3 linked regions of the Daphnia pulex genome follow. The protein of the gene in region 1 purifies or fractionates together with the protein of each later gene. This does not show direct contact. Links are inferred from orthologs where the notes say so. Each region holds a gene or a part of one and is shown on either strand. Other genes may lie near its edges.

Region 1 (3,391 bases):
TGGCCGCAGACCAGCACGAGTCCAATTTGTCCCAGGGTCAGACATCTAATGAAATTACAACAGTGGAAGAAGTCAACGCCGAAATGAACCTCATACTTCACCCCCGAGCCGGAATTCTACTCCACAGTAATACCTGATTAAATTAAATATAGTTATGAATTAATAGTAACAAAACATTTGTAACGAAAACAGGTTTCCAATTCTCTAAACCAACCAAGTTTAACAGCGAAGCCGCAGCCTTCGCTCAACCATCACGAATTCCTTACCGTGGAAGTTCAATTCCAATCATCGACAGCATCAACGAGGCTGCAGTAGCTCAGCAACTACGTCAAGCAATCCGCCGTACACTTCGCAGCTCATAATAAGCACTTCACAATCTTTATAAACATGACTTTGTTAAAAAAAAAATTTGTAGTTTTTCCAATACACTCAATTTGATACAATTGGACGTTACTAGATCTTTTGGCTTCTACACATCTCGGGAATCACAAATAAAAAAACAATGGTTTTTCGCTGAAAGCTTCATTTTTTTTTGTCTTAAAACCAGGTCTGACAGGTTTGTCTTTCAAAACACTGAATTTGTATGAAAAGAACGAAAGAAAAAACATTATTGAAAAAGTGGTGGTGGTGAGGAGAATAAGTAAAGGTGATCAGGAGTTTGCGTCAGTGATTCAACCTCTGATCCACCACGTGTGGACTCAAAGAAATCAAATAATTTGGTGAACATTACACGATTGCGTTATTTCAATTCACTCCTGTATGACTCCAACTCGGCATCAAGCTCATCTGCTGTCGGTGCAGGCTGTTTGGGATTGCGTTGGCGAGCACCACCAGCACCACCTCGCTGACCACGCTGGCCTCCTCCTCCTCCTCCTCTCTGGCCTCTGTTGGAAGCTGGTGCACCAGTCCTCTTTTGTTGCGGCCCGTTGTTAGTGTTAGCTCGAGGGCTGGTTAGTCGGTTGGCGATTGTGTTCAAATCGGAAGTAGCCATCTGAATGACCATTGATCGACCATCCAATGGGACTCCGTTGTACTGTTTCATTGCCTATGGAAAAGAAACAAATATTGATGCTGTGTGTCCTACAGTTGACAAGTTTCATGAAGTTTACCTTGACGGCATCAAGACGGCGCTCAAACACAACATCAGCTGTACCGAGAGATCTGCCTGATCTGTCATAATGCACAGAAGCATGTTTCAATGGTCCAAATTCCATAAAAAGTTCCTATAAATAGAATTATTCAATACATGTTCATCATGACAGAGAAGCAATATATGTTATACCTTAATGTCTGCATCTGACACACCAAAGTCTAAGTTAGAAACAACAAGCTTGGAAGAGCCGCCTCCAGCAGCATTCGGTGCAGCACCCAACCTGGGATTGCTTTTCCTTGGTCCACCTTCATACATGTCATGAGACCAGTCACCATCTGGGTTGCCCTAAAAATAACATACACAAAGAGTCAGCACTATTGCATCACGAAGACTGTAAGATACAGACTAGCTTGGATTTGAAATAGACGAACAAGTCAACCAAGGATTATGCAATACTTTCTGATAGAACATAAAAAAACAAGAAGAATAACTTAACAAATATTTACCTTGGCGTAAGGTGCAGCACGACCCCCAGCATTTCCCTGTCTTTGATTACGAACGGGTCCTGAGCCGGCATTACGGTTGCCTCCACGAGAACTGCCACCACGACCGCCGCGTCCTCCACGGCCCCGGCCGGCTGAACGGCTAGTTTTGATGATATCATCCAAGCTCATGTCAACTTTGTCGCCCATTTTGATAACAATAAGTTTGTGGAGGACTTGACAAAATTAAGGACTATCAATTTAAAAACGAAACACAAGTTTAAGAAAGATTCAATAAGAACGAAACAAATGGATGATGGTGACAGGGACGGTACGACAATGACGCCACGCTCAATCTCTATGCCAAGTTAACGAATATGAGCCTAAGCAAACTCTCAATGGCGCCCATATTGCCCGTTTGCCAGTTTCAAAAACAAGAAACATAAATAATTTAATACTCCTTTTATTCTAAGTGATTTATTTTTCAAATAATAAATTTAAATTTATTTGATTCAATTTTACAAATAAAAAACAGTTTAGTTTCAAATTAAGTTTTTAACCGACGTGGTTGCCAAGCCCGGTGTTTTGATTCTGCTTTTCAACCCTCTAGATGACAACACGTGTTTAAAGTTAAAAGTTAGTGCCTGTAAATTTTAATTAGGCCCCATAATATCCCGATTATCAAGAAATATCTAATGAATTTGCGATTTGCATTGTTAAATGTTGTAGTTGTTACTGTACGTAGTTTTCATTCTAATCAAAAGGTATTCGGCGATATAAAAAATAAAAATCGTGTGTTAAATTTACTCGCCAACATGCCGAAAGATACGAGTCATGTCGCACGTCTTCAATCAGAAAGACAGGCAAAGAAGATTACTAAAACAAAATACCCACCAGGAACCGTAACATTACAAGTTCTGGGTTCTGGTGTCCGTGGTGCACCACGGTCCCTCTATATGTTCACCGATCAATCATGGTAACATTTTAAATTAAAGCAAAAGTATTTTAGTCTAATTCCTGTTTGCTTTTAGTTATCTCTTCAATTCCGGAGAAGGATCTCAACGCTTGGCCCATGAGCACAAGTTTAAGCTGTCCAAAGTTGAGAACATTTTCTTCACCCGTACATCTTGGCAAAATGTGGGTGGATTACCTGGAATTTCATTAACAATTCAAGATGTTGGTGTTCCCAATATCACACTCCATGGACCACCTGGATTGGTAAACAAATAACATCTAAGCACACATTTTAATGCAGATCCAATAATATCATAATCTAATTTTAATAGGGTGAATTATTTACTGCTGCCTCCAGATTCATCATATTAAAGAATTTACAAGTCAATCATGTGGATGCTACTTCACCTGCATCATCTTATGAAGATGCTGCCATGAAATTAAATTATGTAACTATTATGCCCAATGATGATGCAAAATTACCACGTTCAGCTTCTAGTTCTCCTATCGAAGAGGAGGATGTGACCAATTATTATTGTCGAGAAAAAGGAAATCCTGGTGAGTTATCAGTGGTTACAAATTATTAGAATCGAAATGTAAACAAAATTAATTTTCTTAGAGGACGTTCCAGCTGCTAAAAGGACTCGTGTTGAAGATGAAAGTGACGAGAACCCGAAATCCAAAGCCGTTCTAGCTTATGTATGCCGTTTACAAGCGAAGCAGGGTACGCTTATTGCGAAAAAGTGCTTCGATTTGGGGGTCCCACCCGGACCACTCTACGGCCAATTGAAAGCTGGGCAAGATATCACGCTTCCCAATGGCAAGACTGTTTTAGCTTCTGACGTCTGTTCACCGGATGATC
Region 2 (4,249 bases), on another chromosome or scaffold:
TAAAAGAAGTTGGAAGGAAACTCGGACAACCTTGGGTGCATACGGTACTGTACTTCCAAACGGAAGGGCCGGATGCCAAGTACTACCAGTCTTTCAAACAGTGATTGCGAGAGACCAGCTTTGGCAGCTGGTTTACACATCACCACTGGGCCCAACTGACAATGATCTCCAACCAGAATGAGCTAAACACCCAAAACATTGAATTAATAAAAATCTAAAACACATAATACCAAGGGATTCTTACCTGTCTTGCTCCTAGGACGACAGGGACCATGCATTCAGGTTCAGTAGCTTGCATTGATTCATCGATCAAGATAGATGCAAACTTAATGCGAGCCAAGCGAACATCACCAGCACCAACACAAGTGCACGCTAATACATCTGCTGCTTCGAGTAGCTCTCGTTCTGCTTGTCGCTTTAACATGCGGTATCGCTTTTCATCTCCCTGTGAAAGCTCACCGACTTCCTCCTTAAGCTGGACCAGCTTTCGCAACTCTGAAGCTCTATAATAGAAGTTAACTTTAGCCCCACGATGACACATTTTCGCAAAGTAAATTCTTACCCTTCAAGACATCGAACTTGATTATGCAAGGCCAAGAACGAGACGGGTGAATCAATGGCCTCTCTGGATTTCGCGCACAAACGGACCACTTTCAGACCAGTTCGATGAATCTTTTCAGTCAATTGGTCAACAGCAATGTTGGACGGAGCGCAAACTAATACTGGCCCTGATCCTAGTTTAGCCAAATGGTACACGATGGTGGCCGATGTAACCGTTTTCCCGGTACCAGGAGGTCCTTGAATTAATGTCAATGGACGTTGAACTGCTTGTTTTACAGCAAAAACCTGTAAAGCGTAACATTATGAGATAAGCAATGAATGTTCTATGTTCTATCAAGTAACAACTAAATTTTATACCTGAGATCGATTCAGCTCAGGCAAGTCAGGAGCAGAGAAATGTTTAGGGAGATGTAGGCGGAATACGACATCTTCAACCTCGTGACCGAGCAAACGATGATAAATGTAAGCTGAAACGCTACTTTCGTCAACTGCAAATTTCCGCAGGGCCGATTGCATCCTGAAAGACATGTTTCTTAGTCACTAGATCTCTTTGAAATACGAGCTCATCGGATGTTACCTATCAAAAGACGTTGATTTCCAGACAAAATCCACGACGAAATTTGTGGAACATTCTGTAGGAGCTCCGTTTGAATTCTTTAATTCAATTCCGACTTCTTCGCCTAAAATATAGTTATTTATATATTATATTATCATTATTATTACTATTATATATTAGACTGACTGTAGTTGTCTGGAAGTTTAATCACGTGCCCCAAACCAGTCCACGGTTTGTGTAGTTCCCCAAGGTAACGCAATCTTAATTCGTCACCATGCATCAGTTTCATATCTGAATTAACGAAAAATATGAGAAGGGACACTAGTGAACTATAAATATTAGGCATTACCGCTATCTGTCTTTTGAAGACTAAAGTAAGCGACAGTCTTTTTATTAAGACCGACATCCCAGCGAACGTGAACGTTGTCTTGAGTTTGGGCTTCTTTAACTCGTCGGTCGTAGTCTGCTTCAAGTTTCACTAGCGGACCAAAAATATTCTGATATTGATAGCCATCCTCATATCGCAGCAATACGTGCTGAGGTTCTTCGTCAACGCCAGGACGTTCCAGGTCTTCAAAACTAGCCTCAGGTTTCTCTTTCCACATCTCTTCCAAACGGTTCAATTGCTGGGCCGTCAATTGACGAGCTCTCATCTGTTCGGCCTCTGAAGGGCTTCGAACAAGCCAACTGAGGAAACAACGATCAGCTATAAGTGGTTTCCATTGTTCAATGTCCCTATTAGCAAGAAGAAGTTAGTAGAAAACCACACATGACAAACAGCACAGTAAATTTAACTAACCAGTTCATGTCTTTCAATGATGACTGAGCTGCACAAGGTTGGCGACACAGCAGCACAACAACTGAATCTGCTTTAGCAGGAATGAACCCCAAAACAAAAACATTTCTGACTCCACAAGAATAGCACTCCAAAACTGTTTCACCCAACGGTCCATCACGATGCAATGTAACCTCCTGAAAAATTAAGAGTTTGATTATAAACAAGGATTAAGATTTATATTTTTAAAATATTTTTACCTTGTGTTTGGCTCGTACAAGATGATTAACAATGTGAGAGCCAGAAGTATTACCTTTGCCATTGCAAAACCATTTCTTGCAAATATTACACATTACAACACAACCAGGATCATGGATGCCGCAATACTTGCATGCATGTGGTGGCAAATCTTTGCTGTAATAGCCCTCTTCATCTTCTTCCTCAAACTGGAGATCGTTCAAATTTTTCATTGCAGTAGCAAGTTGAGAATCAATCGTGTCCAGCCCATTCGCCTGAAAATGACCACAAATTACAGAAATGTTTTCAAAGTTTCACCAGGCAGGATTTCTTACCTGATGTTTTCCCATTGATTTGTGAAGGCTGGCATGATCAATTTGTGAAGCCTGGGTTTGACTCGGCAAAGTAAAATCGCGAAAATCGAAATCAGTTCCCTGAGTGTCTGCCCCAAGTAAATCATTTTCCTCGGTGTCGAGAAACGTGAGCGTTTGCGAATTGGGCCCAAAAGTGTCCACACTCATTTTGCCAAATGGTATAGCAATTAATGACGTCAATTACAATCTCTTACGGAACGAAACTCGCATGTGTGTTTTCACGGCTGTGCGAGTTTTCCCTTTTCCTTTAGTGCGATCGAAGCGCCATCTCTCGGCTTGATGGTTGATGCAACCGCCCTCTTGCGCAATCTTTTGAAAAATGTAATGAAATACCAGTTGTGTTGCACATTAGATAGGCACAGTGGCACACAAACAAACACACTTAGATCTAAGCTAAATAACAACGCTTTATAGATAAAGATTTTCGGGATCGCCAGATTATGTGCTCCTATGGTACTTTTTGTGCCCAGTCACAAATTATTATTGTTCACATTCGTGATTTAAATATTGCTTGCAGGTTATAGTTACATTGTTATACAGAAAAGAATTAATGAAGTAGAAACAGGTCTTAAACCACGATTCAGATAATAATTGAGTCACAGAATTAGGAAGCCAGTGGTTTCAGAGAAAAAGACATTTCATTTCTCGTAGACATATAGGGCTGTTCGACATCTTTTTTAACATTTGTTGCCATCGTGGCAACGCAGCAACTCATGTATTTTTGTCTGCTACGAGTGACTTGTGTTTGTTCTGCGAAATATGAATTTTTTTGAAAAATAGTGATAGAAAAGGGGGTTGTTTTGAAGTTGTGATGTGTTTTATTTATATATTAGTTCGTTATAGTGTTAGTGTTTAACTATGTCACTGTCTAATTATGCCAGTGGACTTAGTATTGAGGCCAAAACACGTTATTTGGGAAAGTTATTTGTGCAGACAACAATTTCAAGAGAAAAACATTCCACGAATCGTGCATCAAGTCGCAAACTAATCCCCCAAAAAGAATAACAAAGCTTTGGAAGTATGACACTTGCAAGAAAGCTGCTCGTGCCGTAGCAGCCGCAGCGGCAAAAGCAAAGAAAAATAACTTACCGGTCGTTCCTAGTAACAGTCAAGTTCAGAGAACAGCACTTTCCAATATAACCTCAATCAGTAGGCCCTAGTGAGCGAAAAGATACAATTTGTGTACCTTCCTTTGTAAAAAAGAAAATCTCCATTTGTGAAAATGTTGTGTTTGATTAAATTATTACGAAGAAAATGGTAATATGTTTGTGCCCCTGTTAACCAAGGTTAATACATCAAGTATTTATTGAAAATTTTTGGTTTATTATGACAATTATTCACCTAAACACACTACAGTAAGGGTACAACAGATGAACACGAAAACTGAAGTTGTTAGTGATGAATCACCGGAAGTAAATTCGACGTCCCTGATGGATTGACTTGAATTATTTAATGCAGCTGAAAATTATAAGTAATGAACCAAAATATTACTTTCATTAATTACAAAATTACATTTTAAAACATTACTTACGCAATGCATCAAAGGTGGTTTCAACCGTTATGATAGTTTCATCATCGGCAGTTGAAGTCATGTCAAAAGTTTCCGTACTTGTTGTTACATCGTTCAAGGATGGGATTGGATGAGAATCACTTATTAGAAGTGTATCTTCAATTAATGCAACATCTTCATCGAAACTGTTTGAGGTATCTTCAGTTGCAGTTTCAACATCTATCAATGGAGGTGTA
Region 3 (4,239 bases), on another chromosome or scaffold:
CCGTGTTGAATAAATTTTCAATCAAGAAAAGTGCTCTAATTTGTTAATGATCTCTGCTTATCCTGCCCAATCTTCATCTACAGTTCAAAGGTACAAGTGTGGGACACACAAAGCTCTTAAAGTATGTTAATTGATTATTGTATTTTTATTTTTCTAGGTTAAATTTGTACCATGAATAGTGTAAGTGAAGCCTGTAGCCAATTGAAGCAAAATTATGATGCATGTTTCAACACATGGTTCACAGAAAAATTCTTAAGAGGGGATCATTCAACAGACTCATGTGGTCCTTTCTTTAAGGTGTATCGTGAATGTGTTAGGGTAAGTTAATTTTGGTCCAACATTTCTGTCTTTTATAGATGTTTATCTACTCTTTTCTGTTTTAGAAAGCAATCCAGGAACAGAATATTGACCTTAAAGAAATAGAAAAAGAAGTAATGGGGACTGAAAATGAATTTAAGACCCCTGATGGTTCTAAATAACCATTGTTTTGGAAAACCATAAATAATAAATCAGCATTTTAAACAAAATGACTACATAGCTTTTTATTTTTCATCTCAAAACTATTCTAAACCTTTCATTTGCCTTGGACAAAAGACTGAAGGCTCTCTAACAAATTAATAAATAGATGGTGTTCCCGCTTGGTAGCTAGATCGCTCAGCTTTTCAGCAAATTCGTTGGATACTCCTCGTTCTTCGAGCAGATTCATCAGAAGGTCGTACATGTACTATAACGAAAATGTGAAATATCAGTTTAATTTGGTTAAAATATTGTTGACTTTAAAATATACCCCATCAAGAATGTCTCCAGCGACAGCATAAGTCTGATCATTATGTTTGTCCTCATATACTGCAAGTTCATCAATAGTGAAAATGTCATCTGAAAAAATCGAGTGTTATTTATATTGTTGGCTATTCAAATACAATTAACACTTACTTGGGGCATCTTCAACAGGCTCTCCTGCATCTTGAATGTAACTGCAGGCAAATCTGGTTACTTGATTTCCCTTCATTAGTTTGACTTCAAAGTGTGGTTTTGATTTCATTTCAGCCTGGGGAGGATTGTCAGCTTTGTTGTCAACTTCCTCACTGATGTCAGCATCAACAGAATGGTTGACGTTAACTGTTATCTCAATTCTGTTTAATGAATAAAATTAAGCCACAAGTTTCAATTTAGAATTGTCCCATAAAGATTTACTCACTGTTCATCATTAAATTTCTTAGACAATACTATCTCTGAACCATTGTGTTTAACATCAAATCCATCCAAGTTAGCGACAGGCCTGGCTTTGCTCATTCCCTTCTTCTCAGCAGCAATTTCCTCTGAGAGGAACTCAATCAGCTCTTTGTCCCCTATGATGCAACATATATTATGCTGTATTTAAATGTGACGTGAAATGGTTAAAATGTATTACCTCTTGTATGAACTCCTCTGCATTCTCCACATGGGCAGGAAGGGCTCAGGGGAGTATGTTTGAATGCTGGAGAAAGTTTTGTTGGGACAAATTGATTTGTGGGATTAGACATGTACCACAAAGACCTGGTAATGGGTTTCGACAGGATAGACCTCATGGACGCCGGTAACGCATGGCGTGAAACGTTTCGAACGACATTTATCACCGAAAATGACATTATGGGAATGAGATTTTGAACTTTAACAGAGTCTTACAAATTGAGATTTTAAAGAATGAATAGAGCGAACGAAGATGAACTTTATCAGCGAATTAAATAATAATTCTGCAAGGGACTGTGGTGCAAGAGCAAGACTGCAAGTTAAGACAAGAATCTTCTGGCAAAAGCAGAAGCCACGAGGAAATATATCGATTATCGAGTTTTTTCCACTATCGATTAATTGTTGTGGGTTTTTGTTTACAACTTAAACTGAACTCAAACTCCCTCCGAAACTGTGAAAACAATAAAAGGAATATTTAGTTAATATTCAATCGTCTTTAAGATGGGACCTCGTAACAGATGTTTTCTGAGTCCATATTGCACATCTGTTACATCGGGTAACGGAAATGAAAAATACTTTAGTATGCCAAGTATCCCAAAGGTAAAAGCTGGGCCTATGTGTGAATTGACAAAACAATTAATCCAAAAGAGACGTTCTTTGTGGTTGAAAGCATTGGGTCTTACTGAAGCTGATACGGAAAGAGAACCAATTTTAGTTTGCTCAAAACATTTTGTATCAGGTATGTTAGATAGAATATGTGTGAAAATAATTTGATCATATTTCAATATCTATATAGGTAAACCTGATGTAGGTGTGGATTGGGTGCCAAGTTTAAACATTCCGATTCCAAAAATCATACCTGTTCCACCCCCCACAGAAGAGCACAGTTACTGTCAGTCAACAGTGCCACCAACTGCTTACCAATGGAAGACAACTGTTTCAGGTACGATAGTGTCTAAGTCATTATCACCTTTTTCAACCTTTGCTTTGACTACAATGTTGTAAATTCATGTATAGTTAAAAAAAAAAGATTATTGAGTCAGAGGCGTAGTCGTCGTCTACCAATACTTAAAAAGAAAAAAGAGAAGGCTATTGAAAAAGCCACGAAAGCAGAGAAAAAAGCCAAAGACATCGAGGTAAAAATTCGAGAAAAGAAATGGAAGAAAAAGAGACTTGCCATAAAAAAGGCAAAAAGAGAAGCAAAAATTAAAATAGCAGAGAGAGAAGCAGCTCTTTTATTAAGAAAGAATAATAAAAAAAACAAGGTATAGACAATTTTTTGTTACCTAGAACTTCACCAAATAATAACAATGTTTAAAAATCAGGTGCTGCCTGAACCAAATGCAAATCAAATTGAATCAATCGATATGCAACTACCCTCTGCTGAGGATCATTTCGACACGTCGTTTACGCGAATAAGTGAAATTAGTAAACAGTTCAACACATCAGGAAATGACTCCATCACAACCGAAGTTAAAGATATGTCGAATACTCTACCGCCTGTATCAAGCATTTCACCAACAGTATCCAACGGTCATCTGATAATTTCCGGACCATCCGCTCAACAACAACACGTCGAGGCAAATTTGGTTGTTGCGTCTACGGATAAAGTTACCCCTTTGGCACCATCTGTTTCAAAGAACGAATTTCTGCAGCTTTTATCGTTAAGTCAAATCGGTCAAGGTTCAGGAAGAAAATCGACGCCTGTCAAAATTGCGCCAAAAAGCAGAGATAGCAATGCTCCTAAAAGAGTAACTGAACCATTGAAAAACACCGTGAAACTTCCCTCCAAGATTTTGATTGTGAGAAAAGATGCATTTGATAAAACTTCGAGAACCGTGATAACGCTAAAGTCATCATTAAATACTCCGCCTCACATCGTACAAAAGAATGTTGGAAAGATTGTACAGCAAATCCAAGCTCCTCCTTCTTCCACGACACTCCAGCAACAACCAAAACTCGCGGGAAACTCGACTCCGACTATTAAGTGTAAAGCTTTTTCTTCAACAGATCCAGCCCTCAAAACCAACGTAGCTGAACCATTAAAAATGCTACAACCTGCTGCCAAGACTTTGATTCTGAAAAAAGGTGAACCTGCTAAAACTTCACCAACTGTTGCAGCACAAACAAAATCTGCAAACCCTTCCTGTCCTGTATTGCCAAAAAATACGGAGGTCGTATCTCGAATGGAAATGATGGAACCATCATCGCCAGCTCCTCAAAATGGACTAGTAATTTATTACTGTAGTTGCCTCAGTATTTCTTTGCGATTTTTAACGATTTGGTTTTTCTTTAGATATCTCAAAATCTGCACAACATCGATACTTACATCCGAGACCTGATGCTTAAAAAGAACCCCACCGCTCAGGACACTAATCTGAGTTCTTTATTGCTGAATCTAATTAATCATCACCAGAAGAACATTTTGGATTCGGGAAAACCAGCTGCTCAAGCCCAAGCCCAAGCTTCAACTGCTCGAGTCACTCGCGATAGTGCAAACCACGAAGTTGTAGACCTAACTAAGGACGACTGTGACTATATTCTCCCCGATGTTGCTGCCCCAAACAATTTACGCCCAACTTGCAATTGTCGCAACTCCGTTGAGGAAGTAACCTCTTTGAGATACCAACTAGAACAAAAATCAGTTGCATTGAAGGCTTGTAACAGCGATATAGATAATCTGAAGAAAGAGCTTTGCGAGGCAAAGGAGTACATAAGTAATCTGGCAGCACAATTGCAAGAAAATACTCAGACTTTATGTTCCATCTTAGCCAACAGCCCACATGAAAT

Evidence for each region.
Region 2: the proteins of THO complex subunit 4-like (region 1) and regulator of nonsense transcripts 1-like purify together in Homo sapiens (co-immunoprecipitation; 3 studies listed by BioGRID and IntAct, with this or other methods). This does not show direct contact. The link is inferred for Daphnia pulex from reciprocal best matches to the Homo sapiens genes ALYREF and UPF1.
Region 3: the proteins of THO complex subunit 4-like (region 1) and complement component 1 Q subcomponent-binding protein, mitochondrial-like purify together in Homo sapiens (affinity purification with mass spectrometry; 3 studies listed by BioGRID and IntAct, with this or other methods). This does not show direct contact. The link is inferred for Daphnia pulex from reciprocal best matches to the Homo sapiens genes ALYREF and C1QBP.

Annotation. Positions count from the first base shown.
Region 1 is NC_060025.1:2,695,812-2,699,202, forward strand, and holds THO complex subunit 4-like, read right to left. Parts: upstream 1,994-3,391; 5' UTR 1,786-1,993; coding exon 1,600-1,785; intron 1,439-1,599; coding exon 1,283-1,438; intron 1,224-1,282; coding exon 1,110-1,223; intron 1,046-1,109; coding exon 740-1,045; 3' UTR 507-739; downstream 1-506. Other genes in the region: uncharacterized protein LOC124203100, read left to right, coding at 1-126, 193-362; ribonuclease Z, mitochondrial-like, read left to right, coding at 2,271-2,551, 2,607-2,793, 2,862-3,087, 3,149-3,391. UniProt on the Homo sapiens protein: Functions as an mRNA export adapter; component of the transcription/export (TREX) complex which is thought to couple mRNA transcription, processing and nuclear export, and specifically associates with spliced mRNA and not with unspliced pre-mRNA.
Region 2 is NC_060017.1:7,855,788-7,860,036, forward strand, and holds the start of regulator of nonsense transcripts 1-like, read right to left. Parts: upstream 2,830-4,249; 5' UTR 2,651-2,829; coding exon 2,465-2,650; intron 2,405-2,464; coding exon 2,153-2,404; intron 2,090-2,152; coding exon 1,917-2,089; intron 1,853-1,916; coding exon 1,467-1,852; intron 1,409-1,466; coding exon 1,304-1,408; intron 1,242-1,303; coding exon 1,139-1,241; intron 1,079-1,138; coding exon 919-1,078; intron 847-918; coding exon 563-846; intron 504-562; coding exon 245-503; intron 183-244; coding exon 1-182. Other genes in the region: uncharacterized protein LOC124197441, read right to left, coding at 3,837-3,961, 4,035-4,249. UniProt on the Homo sapiens protein: RNA-dependent helicase required for nonsense-mediated decay (NMD) of aberrant mRNAs containing premature stop codons and modulates the expression level of normal mRNAs.
Region 3 is NC_060026.1:13,819,478-13,823,716, reverse strand, and holds complement component 1 Q subcomponent-binding protein, mitochondrial-like, read right to left. Parts: upstream 2,775-4,239; 5' UTR 2,715-2,774; coding exon of another isoform or gene 2,467-2,714; 5' UTR 2,393-2,466; coding exon of another isoform or gene 2,246-2,392; 5' UTR 2,189-2,245; coding exon of another isoform or gene 1,951-2,188; 5' UTR 1,629-1,950; coding exon 1,412-1,628; intron 1,350-1,411; coding exon 1,199-1,349; intron 1,134-1,198; coding exon 934-1,133; intron 877-933; coding exon 788-876; intron 725-787; coding exon 575-724; 3' UTR 516-574; downstream 1-515. Other genes in the region: uncharacterized protein LOC124203752, read left to right, coding at 1,951-2,188, 2,246-2,392, 2,467-2,714, 2,775-3,680, 3,746-4,239.